Linked DNA regions of Arabidopsis thaliana. The protein of the gene in region 3 interacts with the protein of the main gene of each other region in a pairwise test. Each region holds a gene or a part of one and is shown on either strand. Other genes may lie near its edges.

The links. Proteins that work in one complex are often made in the same cells at the same time.
Region 1: the proteins of BZIP28 (region 3) and NF-YA4 interact in a protein complementation assay, tested with the Arabidopsis thaliana proteins (one study listed by BioGRID).
Region 2: the proteins of BZIP28 (region 3) and BZIP60 interact in a two-hybrid assay, tested with the Arabidopsis thaliana proteins (one study listed by BioGRID).

Annotation. Positions count from the first base shown.
Region 1 is NC_003071.7:14,649,177-14,653,614, forward strand, and holds NF-YA4 (nuclear factor Y, subunit A4), read right to left. Parts: upstream 2,534-4,438; 5' UTR 2,388-2,533; intron 2,126-2,387; 5' UTR 2,080-2,125; coding exon 2,052-2,079; intron 1,960-2,051; coding exon 1,844-1,959; exon of another isoform or gene 1,498-1,843; coding exon of another isoform or gene 1,459-1,497; coding exon 1,375-1,458; intron 1,287-1,374; coding exon 1,122-1,286; intron 1,046-1,121; coding exon 842-1,045; 3' UTR 530-841; downstream 1-529. UniProt on the Arabidopsis thaliana protein: Stimulates the transcription of various genes by recognizing and binding to a CCAAT motif in promoters.
Region 2 is NC_003070.9:16,135,194-16,139,272, reverse strand, and holds BZIP60 (basic region/leucine zipper motif 60), read left to right. Parts: upstream 1-1,809; 5' UTR 1,810-1,813; coding exon 1,814-2,250; intron 2,251-2,760; coding exon 2,761-3,211; 3' UTR 3,212-3,550; downstream 3,551-4,079. Other genes in the region: AT1G42980 (Actin-binding FH2 (formin homology 2) family protein), read right to left, coding at 3,817-3,947, 4,032-4,079. UniProt on the Arabidopsis thaliana protein: Transcription factor involved in the unfolded protein response (UPR). Acts during endoplasmic reticulum stress (ER) by activating unfolded protein response (UPR) target genes via direct binding to the UPR element (UPRE).
Region 3 is NC_003074.8:3,377,269-3,382,154, reverse strand, and holds BZIP28 (Basic-leucine zipper (bZIP) transcription factor family protein), read right to left. Parts: upstream 2,988-4,886; 5' UTR 2,830-2,987; coding exon 1,254-2,829; intron 1,177-1,253; coding exon 725-1,176; 3' UTR 534-724; downstream 1-533. Other genes in the region: AT3G10810 (zinc finger (C3HC4-type RING finger) family protein), read left to right, coding at 1-136, 234-307; AT3G10790 (F-box associated ubiquitination effector family protein), read right to left, coding at 3,786-4,745.

The DNA of each region.
Region 1 (4,438 bases), on a different chromosome or scaffold from region 3:
AAATGATTATGCTTAGTGGATAAAAAAAAGTGGTAAACTAAGATTATTCTACCTTCTTCCCAAAACGAATCCATTTGGTCGCAGAAATCAATGTTTCAAATTCTATCCCAACACATCTAACCAATATATCATCAATGGAATGGTGAAATATGGTCTCTTTGTGAATATAAGAAAAAGGCTAAGTTTATATGTGGTAAAGAAGATAATAATAAAATGGTGTAAACAGGTCTAAAGACTTGACAAAACTAAAACAGAGCTACAAGTCGAGAAAAGAAACAATACCTCGTATAAAAAGAGAATTGTGATTGTAAAATAATGTATGTCGTGTCATTCAAAATGTATCATCGGAAGAGCATATGGTCGGATATGCATGCAATGTGTTCATTAAAAATGAAAACGAGCCTAGTGATTGACCACATTATGAGATCGGAAGAATTCTTGTTTTACTTGTCTCCTAAATTACAACGTCAAATCCGATCCTGTAGAATGCATTTCATATATATAGAAGAATACCAATAAACAGTCTAGTCTAACAATGGACTAATCCACAGTGGTAGTTATCATCAGTGTTAGTTATCCTCAAAATCATAGCAAACAAAGCTAAGAACATTAATTTACTTTCCAAAACATGAGTTCATTGGCAAAGAATATCAATTTGGTACAACAATACTTCCAATCACACTTTTCATTTCTTTGCTTAGTTTTATTTCTAATCGCTAAAACAAAGTTTACCCTAGCAAATAACCTGTACACAGCGTATCCAAAAACACTAAAGACGATGATGCCCTGAGAACATCCACCCAAAATAGAAACTAAACTTGTGGTTGTGCAGAAACCTTCCTCAAGATCTACCATTAGGACCAGAAGTAGCCATAGCTAATTTCTCGGACCTGAGGCTGGAACTTGCTTCTGAAGTGTTCTCATCAGAGGTTGCCTCCTCCTCCTCCTTGTGGTCTCCATTTTCCTTCTTGGCATTGAGAAACCGGCCACCACATCCTCTTGGCCGTCTTATCGCATGTAAATGCCGAGATTCATGCATGTATGGCTGAAAACAAGAAATTACAACTTATTGGGAAGGATTCTACCAAACAAATTACAGCACTTGCCCGCCAGGATTTTACCTTTTTTGCTTTGATGGCTCTATTTCGTGCCTCAAGTTTTGCCCGGGATTGCCTGCGCCTGAGTATACCATGGTATTGCTTTGCGTTAACAAAAACAGGTTCCTCGACTGCATCACATTGCAATGGAACTCCTGGCTGCTGCATTCCCATTAACTGCAATTGGACCTGAAAAAAAAACTTTAAAAATAAAACAAAAGCTTTTCTAAATATTCCAAACCGGAGACGTTGGGGCTGAGTAATAAATAATACATACCCCAGGATAGGGATGTGGAAGATACGCTTGCTGTGCAAAGACGCTTCTGTAGTAAGGATCTGGATACGGGTATAATCCATGTGCCTTCAATACCAACACACACAAAAACAAAAACCGTATCATCTCAGGTTAAAAAGTTTAGCATTACTTGGAATCAACATTATCATTACACTGCATCTCAAGACTGATTTTCAAAGCAATCAAAGTTTACATTCGTACGAAGTCTAAAACTGCAGAAAGGCGATGATCCCGGGACTTTCTTGCTTGAATTATCTCAAACAACCAAGTTTTGGCATTGTAAGCATCAAAACAAAACTTTTAGCATTGAAAAAGAGAATCACAAGCAAACATATTATAACCGAGAGCAAGATCACACAGAAACTAAACCAAATATCATATAATCGAAATAAAGATCACTCATTGAATGTAGCCTGCACAAATAGTTGAGATTTTGGCTGAGAGAAATTACCATGGGCTCTGAGTAGACAGAGTTTGTATCAATAGATTCCGAACTTCGTCCTGAAGGAACCTGTGGTCGGGTTTGGGAATCTGGACGTTCTTTCTTCGCATGACTTTCATTGTTATCTGACCAGCAAAACATACCACCAAGAATCAGTTAGGAAGATACAACAATAAAACGAGAGCATAATGAAAATGGTCAGAAAGAGAGACAAAACCAGAGAGCTCATGTACTGAAGAAGTCATGATTCATGAGAAGACTGTCCTAGTTACAAGTCTGAGGAACAACAAACTGAAACAACAACAAAGCACAAAAGTCAGTACCAAAGCCAAGAGTTTGAGAATCGGAATTCACTAAACCAAAACCCCAAAATCAGAATTCAATCACAACCCTAGAATCTAAAGCAAACCCAGAACAGAGAAAAACCAATCTTAACCTCTACTATCACATCTCAACATACATAGCAAAAGCATTTTCCCGGAAACGAGTAGATACAGAACAACAAAAGCTAGAAACTTTCAAAATCTGGAGGGAAAGAAACATAAGAATTTACCTGAATTATATAAAATAGTAAGCTGATTCAATCAATCTCTGGATCTTACCCTCAGAAAATTGTTAAAGGTCTCTCCTTTTTTGTTCTAACTAAGGAAGAGACGAAATGACTAACAGAGGCCTAAACGGCTAGACCCAAGAGGGACACACCATGTCGTTTTTTCAGTTCATAGCCTCCGTCCTTCTCTAATATTCATTAACATCGTGCCGTTTTCATGTTTTCCACTCACACTGTAGTGATAGGTCAACTCAGAACCACGAAAATGTGTAGGAGTGGTAAACGACACGATGTGCAACAGTGAAAAGGAGGCTAATACAATGAGGACAAGTGTCGAAACAACGATCGAGATTGTAGGAAAAGACGGGCAGATCTGAAAAGCTGCCCGAATATGTTATCGATTGTTCAACTCCACTAGTTTTGCCTGACCCTACTTGTGCCCGTTGCCCTCAAATATATCTTTCGTTGTGAGTCATCAAAGAAGCGTCGGTATCGAAACCGAAGATTCCGTTCGCTTTTGGTTTTGTTCGAATTTCAGAGACATTAAACCAGCTTTGGTATTTAGATTGGTTTGACTTCGGTTCAGTGACAAAACAAAACCTACTTAAACGAACGAGTGATGAGTGACTTCAGAAAAAAACAGTACATGATTCCATAATAAGTAACTTATTATTTATAAGTTTCCTAAAAATTTTGCCCAAAAAAAAAAAAAGAAAAAAAAAACTTTCCTAAAAAAGTATTTGCTAATTGCTTTGACTCGAAAAATAATTGAAAACTATCACTTATGTGTAAAAGACCACCAAAAGTTGTAACGCCTTTGATCACTTATACGAGGTCACAGTATTCGACAAGTAACTATAGGTCAAAATCAAGTAAGTATGCATTCGACAAGTAAGAAACGTTTAACGTAAATGAAGTGAGTGAGCAGTCATTGAACAACAAATTAGCGTTTGGAAATGGACGAAAACTAACTAGTAAACATGATTAATACACAAGTAAATGAAGTGACTGAGCAGTCATTAAATAACCATGCTTACTTAATCACCTATACGATTATATAGTCTGCTTTCATCCCTAAACTCCTTATCATCATGATTCTTGATTCGACACCTCAAAGTCCTCAAGTGCATGTCAGCACGTATAAAGTTATAAATATAAAAAAAAAAAAAAAAAGTTATAAATATCAAGCATAATTTAGCACTGAGATTAAAAGAGCATTCCTAACAAAACCAAAGATTATAAGTTCATGATATTGGAAAAACCCAACACAAGTTCATGTAATTAGGTTAAGTAGATGAGCAAGTAGTCTCTTATATATAATCATGTAGTGAGAACAGTGAGACTAACGTAGAGAGTTGTCACTTAACTCCATAGTCTATCCCCTTCTTTGAAATCAAAACTAAAGTCATTCTATTCTTGGGGACAATCTAAATCTTTTCCCCTCATACTTTTGTTTTGTGCAATAAGCTTAATGAGGTCTCTTATTTTCAGTTTTAGATTTCTATGTTAGTTCATTTGAGCACAAATCTATCCTAGTTTGGTTTTTCCTACAAAGATCGCCTCAAAAGAACGATTTTAGTTAATAAGACTTAAACCCCAACCATCAAGATCAAACCGTCATAATCTAGTTTAATCCATGATACAAAAAAAAAAAAAAAATACCACTTACACAAAGTAAAAGCAAAAGAAAAAGATAGAGATGAGACCAAATTCATAAATTTGATAGAAAGATAAGGATGAGATTCTTTTATAATTGTGAAGATAAATATACTAATTTTTATCGAAGGGGTGTTCAAAAGTATATTGATTCAAATAGATTATAGAGAAAAATTAAGTAAAACTTAGATTTAGAAATACCTCTTGTTATAGTTGTCATATAAATCTTAAATTTAACATCAATCATATTGTCAAATCTAGCTTTATTACCAAAAATATATCTAGAATAGAAATACTAAAAAATTAAAATGTCATCCGAAATCTATAATTAATTAATCGAATGTCACAACCATATTAGTCATATAAACATTTTTCTTGTTCCAAGAATGACATCTTGA
Region 2 (4,079 bases), on a different chromosome or scaffold from region 3:
CCCGCTTACATACAAACAAAAAAGTAATATACAAAAGGAAATATATGCTTTACGTAGTTAAATAGCTTTGTTAGAGTCCTCTCTATTAGTTTAATTACAAAATTTGCAATCCTTATATTTCTTCATAGGTATTTAATTAGCATTATAAAAGAACTATATCATAGAAAATATACACTATTAACTTTCGATAAGTGACTTTATGAACCACGTCATTAGATCACAAGTCAGGTTAATACAATTGTCCTAAAATTATAATTAATGTAAATAATGTGTTACTAAAATTATAATTACTAATGCTATTATTGACAAGTTCGGTTGATAAGCAAGTCCAAAATCAAATCTCATCAATCAGACTTCTTGGGGACAAGAGATACGACCTCCAAATTTGGTTTTTGTCCAGAAGTTAAAACTAACATCATCTAGCTTTTTAATATTTCTATTGGTGTTTAAAACTTGTCTTCTATTCGTTTCTAATTGAAATTGCACTTTATCTACTTTTTTTAAAATATAATTTAACATTTTATTGAAAAATATATAATCATCAACTGCTTTTAATGTTAAACTACTTTTTAAGTACTTTTTGAAAAAGTGTAATTATTCACACAATCTTGAAATAATTTTCATCGTAAAACAATTTAATAGATGTTAATGTTGGAAATATATAAACATCAGGAATTTGAGGATGGATCTCTGTATACTCCTCATCCTCTGTATTATATTATTTAGATAGAGATTAATGATAATAAGCTACCAAACCATTAGCTAATTCACTATAGTAATATCTATTCCTATTTTAAGTTATGACTACAAAACATTAGCAAATAAACCTTAAATGAGTATGAAGAAAATAGTAAAATATATTTATTCTTTAAAATACATATAATAACAAAAATAAATTTAGAATTGATACAATTAAAGATAAATAATTAATAATAAATGTAAATCTTACATTAATTATTGAATGAACACATAGAAAATAATTAAATAATAACGTGACATTCATATGAAAATAGTAGATCAACTTTCACATATATAATTAGTTCACTCATCTGCTAGAGAACTGAAAATTTTACAAATTCATTCATGTGAGATTGAATGAAGATTAATCACTCATTTAAAATTGAATAAGGAAGATAATCCAGAATGTAACATAAATTGACAATATAATATATGATTTTAATTAACAAATTGATAACTTTCAAAGTCTAGAAGATGGTCACGAAGGAAGAAAAGTCCTCTCGGAGAACAAAGATTCAATCGTGGAAGATGTTGACGGTGACAAAGAGAAAAAGGGACTGAAGAATTTTGATTGATTTCTGAGAAATGGTCAAAGAAGCCTTGCTCTCCTTGGTCTCATTGTCCATCTCAACTACATGTACATCGTTTTGACTATAGCTAACTGGTTTACATAACTGTACCGAAAATAAGAAAATCAAACCAAGAGAAAAGAAGTGAATTAGAACCGAGTTATTAATCACACGAACACTTCACTGAGTACACGTGTTCGGCTGTGATCCTATTCTTCCAGCTTGAAGCCTTCTCATTGGTTGTGTGACGGCACATAAAAACAATAATCCTCTGCTAACAGAAACACTATAACACAGTACACTCCATCACATCATTGGCTAAAAATTCAAAAAACGCGTCCATAATCAACACGTGTCATGCTGACTCTTTTTCTACACATTTACTTGGTCGCAAAGAAATTTAGAAAAGTCTCAAACACAGTTCCTATATAACTCATCTCTCTTCCAATTTCTTAAATTAAATTCGCTTTTTTTTTTCTTCTTTGTATATTTTTTTTTTTTTGACCATGGCGGAGGAATTTGGAAGCATAGATTTACTCGGAGATGAAGATTTCTTCTTCGATTTCGATCCTTCAATCGTAATTGATTCTCTTCCGGCGGAGGATTTTCTTCAGTCTTCACCGGATTCATGGATCGGAGAAATCGAGAATCAATTGATGAACGATGAGAATCATCAAGAGGAGAGTTTTGTGGAATTGGATCAGCAATCGGTTTCAGATTTCATAGCGGATCTACTCGTTGATTATCCAACTAGCGATTCTGGCTCCGTTGATTTGGCGGCTGATAAAGTTCTAACCGTCGATTCTCCCGCCGCCGCTGATGATTCCGGGAAGGAGAATTCGGATTTGGTTGTTGAGAAGAAGTCTAATGATTCTGGTAGCGAGATTCATGATGATGATGACGAAGAAGGAGACGATGATGCTGTGGCTAAAAAACGAAGAAGGTATATCTAATTTTACTCTTGTTTGAAAAGTTAGGGTTTATGGATGGATTTTGTATGTTTGTGTTGATTTTGGTTTCATTAAGATTGTTAAAAGTGTGTTATGCTTTGAGAACAACATTGAGAACTAGGAGATACGTATGTGTAACAGTGAAGATTTGAGAAACGAGTGTTTAAATTTTGCTTGCGTATCTTGTGATATGTTCATGTTATTATGTTTATGTATGTGTGACGTTGAAGAGTTGATTGATTATGAGTGATGTTGATTTTTGTTTCATTTAGATTGCTATAAGTGTGTTATTGTTTTGATAACAACATTGAGAACTAATCATTTAAGTAAATGACTGTTTAAATTTTGGTTGCCTTTAATTATTGTTAATCTTGTGTTAATATTCATGAGCTGATTATGTTCAAACATAGGTATGTGTATTTTGGTTAACTTAAGATTGTTAAAGCCTTTTATGCTATGAAAAGAAACTGAGGTTTGATAATTGGGATGTGATTGTGGTTCAGGAGAGTAAGAAATAGAGATGCGGCGGTTAGATCGAGAGAGAGGAAGAAGGAATATGTACAAGATTTAGAGAAGAAGAGTAAGTATCTCGAAAGAGAATGCTTGAGACTAGGACGTATGCTTGAGTGCTTCGTTGCTGAAAACCAGTCTCTACGTTACTGTTTGCAAAAGGGTAATGGCAATAATACTACCATGATGTCGAAGCAGGAGTCTGCTGTGCTCTTGTTGGAATCCCTGCTGTTGGGTTCCCTGCTTTGGCTTCTGGGAGTAAACTTCATTTGCCTATTCCCTTATATGTCCCACACAAAGTGTTGCCTCCTACGTCCAGAACCAGAAAAGCTGGTTCTAAACGGGCTCGGGAGTAGTAGCAAACCGTCTTATACCGGCGTTAGTCGGAGATGTAAGGGTTCGAGGCCTAGGATGAAATACCAAATCTTAACCCTTGCGGCGTGACAACGCCTTTTTTAACTGCTTCTTTTGCGCATTTTGAGTTGTAGATGAGTGTCTTTTAGTTTTCTCTCTCTTGTTTTGTATTTCGCTGTTGAAAGTTTTCTGTCTAATATCGATAAGTTAACAGTGAATGTGGGTCTTATGGTTATGGATGATATCTATCTAATAATGCTTCTGCCTTTAAAATGTTGATTTTGAGGCATAACTTCAGGTAATATCACTTCTAATTACTAGATAACAATTCATTAGGTTGATTAACATTGATAAAGCTTTTCCTCATGCTAGTTTTTACATGTTTGCTTCATTTGACATTATCACAGTTTTTTTTTTTTTTTTTTTTGTCATCAGATATTATTTAGGGTTCAGACGAGCCAATCTTTGGGATTGTCACAGAGATTTTTGTTTGTAAAATGTTTGGTACGGATGCGTAGGCAGGTAAAAAAAAACGAACAGATAGTTTTATTAGAACAATGAAGATAAGGTAAAACTTCGAATTGTAAAAAAGTTCAAATATTTTCTAGTACATAAGCACTAGAGAAGAGATGATAGATAGTTTGCAGTTCCATCTAAGCAGCATAGAAGTTGTCGATGAAACTAGCTACGGTTCTTTAGAGGTTCCCATTTTGTTTGATGTTCATTTTTCTTTTCTCCAGTATCTCCTTCTCAGCCTCGGCTTGTCTTTCAATCTCCTCGCGAGACTTGTAGAACGTTTCCACGAAACGGGTCAGGATGTTGGTCGCTGCAGATAGGGAGAATAGCCAGAGTAGAAATGAGAACCGCGAAATGTAGACATGAGTACAATAGACAGTAGATGTGATGGTACCTTCCTTGAAGCGAACACCACTTGGATACTCAGCTATGTAGGAATTTA
Region 3 (4,886 bases):
GCCAAGTCTCATATAGTTCCAATCTCTGCCCCTCTACCACATGTGGTGTTTGCCCATGCAGCTCAACCACCCATAACGGAACCACGGGAACCACATGCAAACGAAGTTGCTCATCCTCAACCGCAGTCCTCTTCATGTAAGTTGCTACTTAAAGTCTTCCAATTTAGCAAAGATATATCAAATCATAGACTCCCAATTCTAATCAAATGCCTTCTTCTTTCTGTGTTTGGCAGCAGCGATTGAGGTTTTACCAGCTATGCCATGGATTGTCCTTCTCATGCTGATAGTGGCCTGGCTTCATGAATAACGACATTAACATGTCTAGTAAACTGTATCGACAGAGTACTCAAAACTTTTAAATGTATAAAATGAATTCATATGGAAACTAGATACAGAACCGGAAGAGTTGTTATAGAATGATGCTGCACAAAAGGGTGCAGCCTTCTACTTAAGTCCCAATTGAATATATATGCTCTAAGAGCTTCTTTTGTATATTATATCTTCTAAATTAGAAAAGTTCTGCAACCATCGGATGTATTATACAGCCTAAAGCTATTGGAAATGCCTTTAAAACAAGGATTCCACTTTATGCTTATCTCAAAATTAAAATCCAAAACCTTAGAACATAAGAGTTATACAACACAGGGAAAAAAAGTCAACAAGGTCTGTATGTATAAACAAGTCAATGTTCGCCTACTTAAGGTCAAGATCTGAGTAGCTCAAATCAGGTGGCTACGAGATGGAGACCCGATCGAGGAAGAACGCATGAGTAGGTAACGTACTTGACACTGTCAAGAAGCACCACCACAAAGATCCGGGAAAGTGATTTTGGGTTTGGGGGAACCACTCTGTCGGTTTCAGAGTCAACGACCTCTCTTGGATCAAGTAACACTGAGACAACCATGGAGGATGATGATGTGGGTTTGTTAGTGTTTCCATTAAAGGTCTTATTTTGAGCGTCTTTGTTTGGCTGGGTTCCGGTGATATTGAGCTCTGACGCCACAAGTGAAACAGGAAGTCCCTCAAGGATTCTCCTGTTCTTCATTCTCTTGCCGTGGGTAGTGACATTTTGGAGATGCTCCGCAGAAATGCTGGAGACTGATGACGGGACTATAGCACCAGGAGCAATATCAAACTGGAAAACCTCGGTGCACATGCTGTAATCCATTAGTGGCCCTGCAAGAGAATGCAATGTAGAGTTGAAAATCCAGATCACTCCATTTAGTAGAAACTACATAGAGAACAAGAATTACCTGAGCCACCTTCATGAAACCATTGGTGAAGTCTTTTCCCTTCAGAAGAGAGAGCTGTTGAATGCGGAAGCATTGCTGCATTTCCTCTTACCCCCGGAACAGCTAATGCAGAAGACAGTGCACCAGGAATGGTCAAATCCGGTTCTTTAGTTTTTACTGTTTCAGTGATATTCTTCTTTCCTAAACCCCTTGCTTTCTCGCTCGCCAAAACAGAGTGAATTATCAAGTTCCCATCGATCTTCACAAGCCCATCGTTTCTTGGGACATAGAGAGAAGCAAAGAGAGGATCACTGGCATTGCTCAACGAACTTGGTCGTCCTTCTACTTTCGGATGAGCATTATAATCTACTCCTCCACAACTATCTCTCTCACCATGACTAATCCTACTAGAATGGATATTTCCTTCAGAAATTCCACTATTTCTTCTAACATCAGAACCATCGCCGACCATTAAAACCCTCCCCTTATGTTCATCGTAATACCGGTGGCCATCATATTTAGACAAACCGCCAAAGCTTCCACGTTCTCCTCCAAAATTTACATTCATAAAAGGAACCAATGTACCAAACAAGAAGACAAAGAAGAGAATTCCAATAAAACTAATACTAGCAACCTTCTTGAGCTTACTTTTACCCTCATTCTTCTTACTCTCTGCCTTCTTCGGTCTACAACTCGAGACAGGCTTAGGATTTAACTTAGGAATGGGAACCAAAGGTGTCTGTGATCCATATCCCCTAACAGGATACGGCGGATACGGCATCCATTGATACGGTAAAGGCGGGGCAGCCATATAAGGATTCATAGGAGGAGCACCAGAAGCAACAGCCATTTGTTGCCTTAAAGCGACATTCTCAGCCATAACATAAGCAATCTTACCATTCAATTCAGCAATGGTAGCATTCATACTCTTCACTTTTCTTTCAAGCTCCTCAGTTTGTTGCTTCTTCCTCAACCTCGAAAGCTGAGCACTTTCACGGTTCCTAATCTGCCTTATCAACTTCCTCTTGTCGTCGTCATCATCACCTTCGTTGTTCGTAGCGACTGATTTATCATCGGACTTTTGGTACTTGCAGCTCCTTAATTCGCCACTGGAGTCTCCATTTTCCTTCTTCCTCTTGCTAACAGAAGATTTCTGGTGATTGCTTGATTCAGGGGAGGATGATGCGTCAACGGTGTCGGACACAAAAGTCTTGGAGCCTTGAGATGAAACCTGTGAATGAACAGACTCAGATCTTCCTTCTAAACCTCCATCGCCGCTTCTGTTTTCCGATGAGTCCAAATTCGAACGATTGTTACCGATCTCCTCAGGGATCACCACCGCGGGCTCCGATAAATCGAAATCGAAGAAATCATCAGAATTATCAAACGAGAAATCAAAATCAGCGAAATCTCCGTTCTCATCGTCGAGTAAGAAGTCGAGATCGGAGATTGGCGCATCCATTGAAATCGGATCAGAATCAGATAGGAAAAGAGGATCTAGCGGCGGAATAGAAAACAAATCGGACTCAGAAAACATGCTAGGGTTCAGATTAGGTATCTCCGGCGGAGGAGCAACCACGGATGTTGATTCCGTCATCGTCGGAGGATTCGAAAATTTATTCTGGCTTCGCTTCTCGATGGTTCCACACGGTTTATAACTTTGGAACAAGGCAACGTCGACGAATATACTTAAGAATTAAGATTATATTACATCCACGCGCAGTCAGCGCGTGTACATCAAACTCCGAACACGTGTGTATGTTTAGTCAAACAAAAACTATCTACTTATTGGCTTGTTGCTTGGGTTAAGAAATTAATGGTGAAATGTTACAATGTGTTGTATGATGAATGTAGTTCGTTTTATGATTTAGTGAAAATATTGAGGTATTTTTGCTATTTCAGAATCGATATTAGTTTTATTTTCTTATACATAAGATTTCTTTATGAAATAAAATTCAAAAGGCGACCAAAATGATGATAAAGATCCATCTAGCCAAACACAAAACTCTTTGTTCTCCCCAAAAGAAATCAAATAAGAAGAAAACCGAAGCTGTATAAGCTCCGCACAAAACCAGAGATTATTATAATCAAGTCATAAACATTTTTCTTGTTAAGTCATAAACATTGCATTCCAAAGATGTTGAGAAAAAAAACATTGCATTACAATATTCCACAGACATAAATATCCATTGATCAAAAGACTAACCAATGGGTGACCATCAAATCCAATAAGAACTAGTCTTAAACAAATAATATCCGACCACTTAATTGAAACTTGAAAAATAAGAAAAGAAAGAAGAGAGATTAGTTCATGCAACACCAAAGAACTCATCACCAACCGATTGCCTTATCTTTGGCAGAACCATAGGATTCTCTACATGATCCAAAAAGACTTTCAAAGAAGTATAATAACCAATTCTTTTGAAGCAGATTTTTCTAGCTGTGTGTTCCTTGAGATCGTAACACAGTAAATAGAAGGGGCCACGCTTTAAGCCCGGTGTAAATATAAGCTCGCCGGTTCCAAGTATACCCGTGAAGCTGAATGGTCGAAATCTATATATCTACCCAAGAAGGAACCAAGACACAAAAGTTTGACCATTCTTGTTTGCTGGCATCTTCTAGAATCCATACAAAAAGTCTATCATTACTAGCATATAACAAATTCGTTACAGCTATCTTTTCGCCGTAGTTCGCTAGAACTTCGACGGCCGGCCTCGGTAACTCAACGACACTAAACTTTTCAGACCCCACAACAAAGCACATTAGCGACTGATCATCATTGACCCTAGCGAAGTAATAGATAACCCCATTGCTAAATATTCCTTGAGTTCCAGGAGTAAGATAATGATTAATCGTACATTCGATCATTCTCCATTTCTTCTGTTTACATCCTAGAGTGAAAACTTTATGCTCCTTGGACACAATATTTCCTGATCTACTATAGTACTCATCCGATATCGTCATGCACAAGACTTTGTATTCATCCTTAACATGATCGTATCCAAAGAAGGGAAATATTTCTTGGTATATTTTGGTTCTGACTCTCGGTAAAGTTTCAAATTGACAAGTAGTAGGATTTCCAATTACCACTTTAGTAGAATTGTTTAGACAGCAGATCAAGCCACGAACAGGTGGAGAAAAGTCATACCAGATACGCGGATACGAATCAGGGTAACAGCCAACCGTTTGATGATCAGAAGATGGATCCTCTCGAGAGCAAGAGTGGAAGAACTGCATATTTATTTCTCGATCGTCGACTGCCAAAAGAAGACGTGGTCGATTCAAAGATTCAAAGAACTTTATTATCAAATACATGTTGGTGAAATCTTTGTTAAGGACTATCGATGACCAGGACTTGGAAAGGAGGATGAACGTCGATATGATTTTGGCCTTCAATTTCATGAGAATCTTCTCTTTCAGATGCAGAGGCATTCCTTCAAAGGGGTCAGTTTGGGACCTTGTAACAAGTTTCCAAGTGTTACTGATGGTTCTTTTCCCCTTTACCTCTTCCATGGCTGTTTTCACTTACGCTCACTATCTCTCTTTTTTCTTGCTTTTTTTTTAACTCCGAACCCCCAATGTTTTTAGAGGTTTGGAGATTTGATGATAAACCGTTGTCAACGTGTGGACAGGTTTAGATAAACGAGATTTATT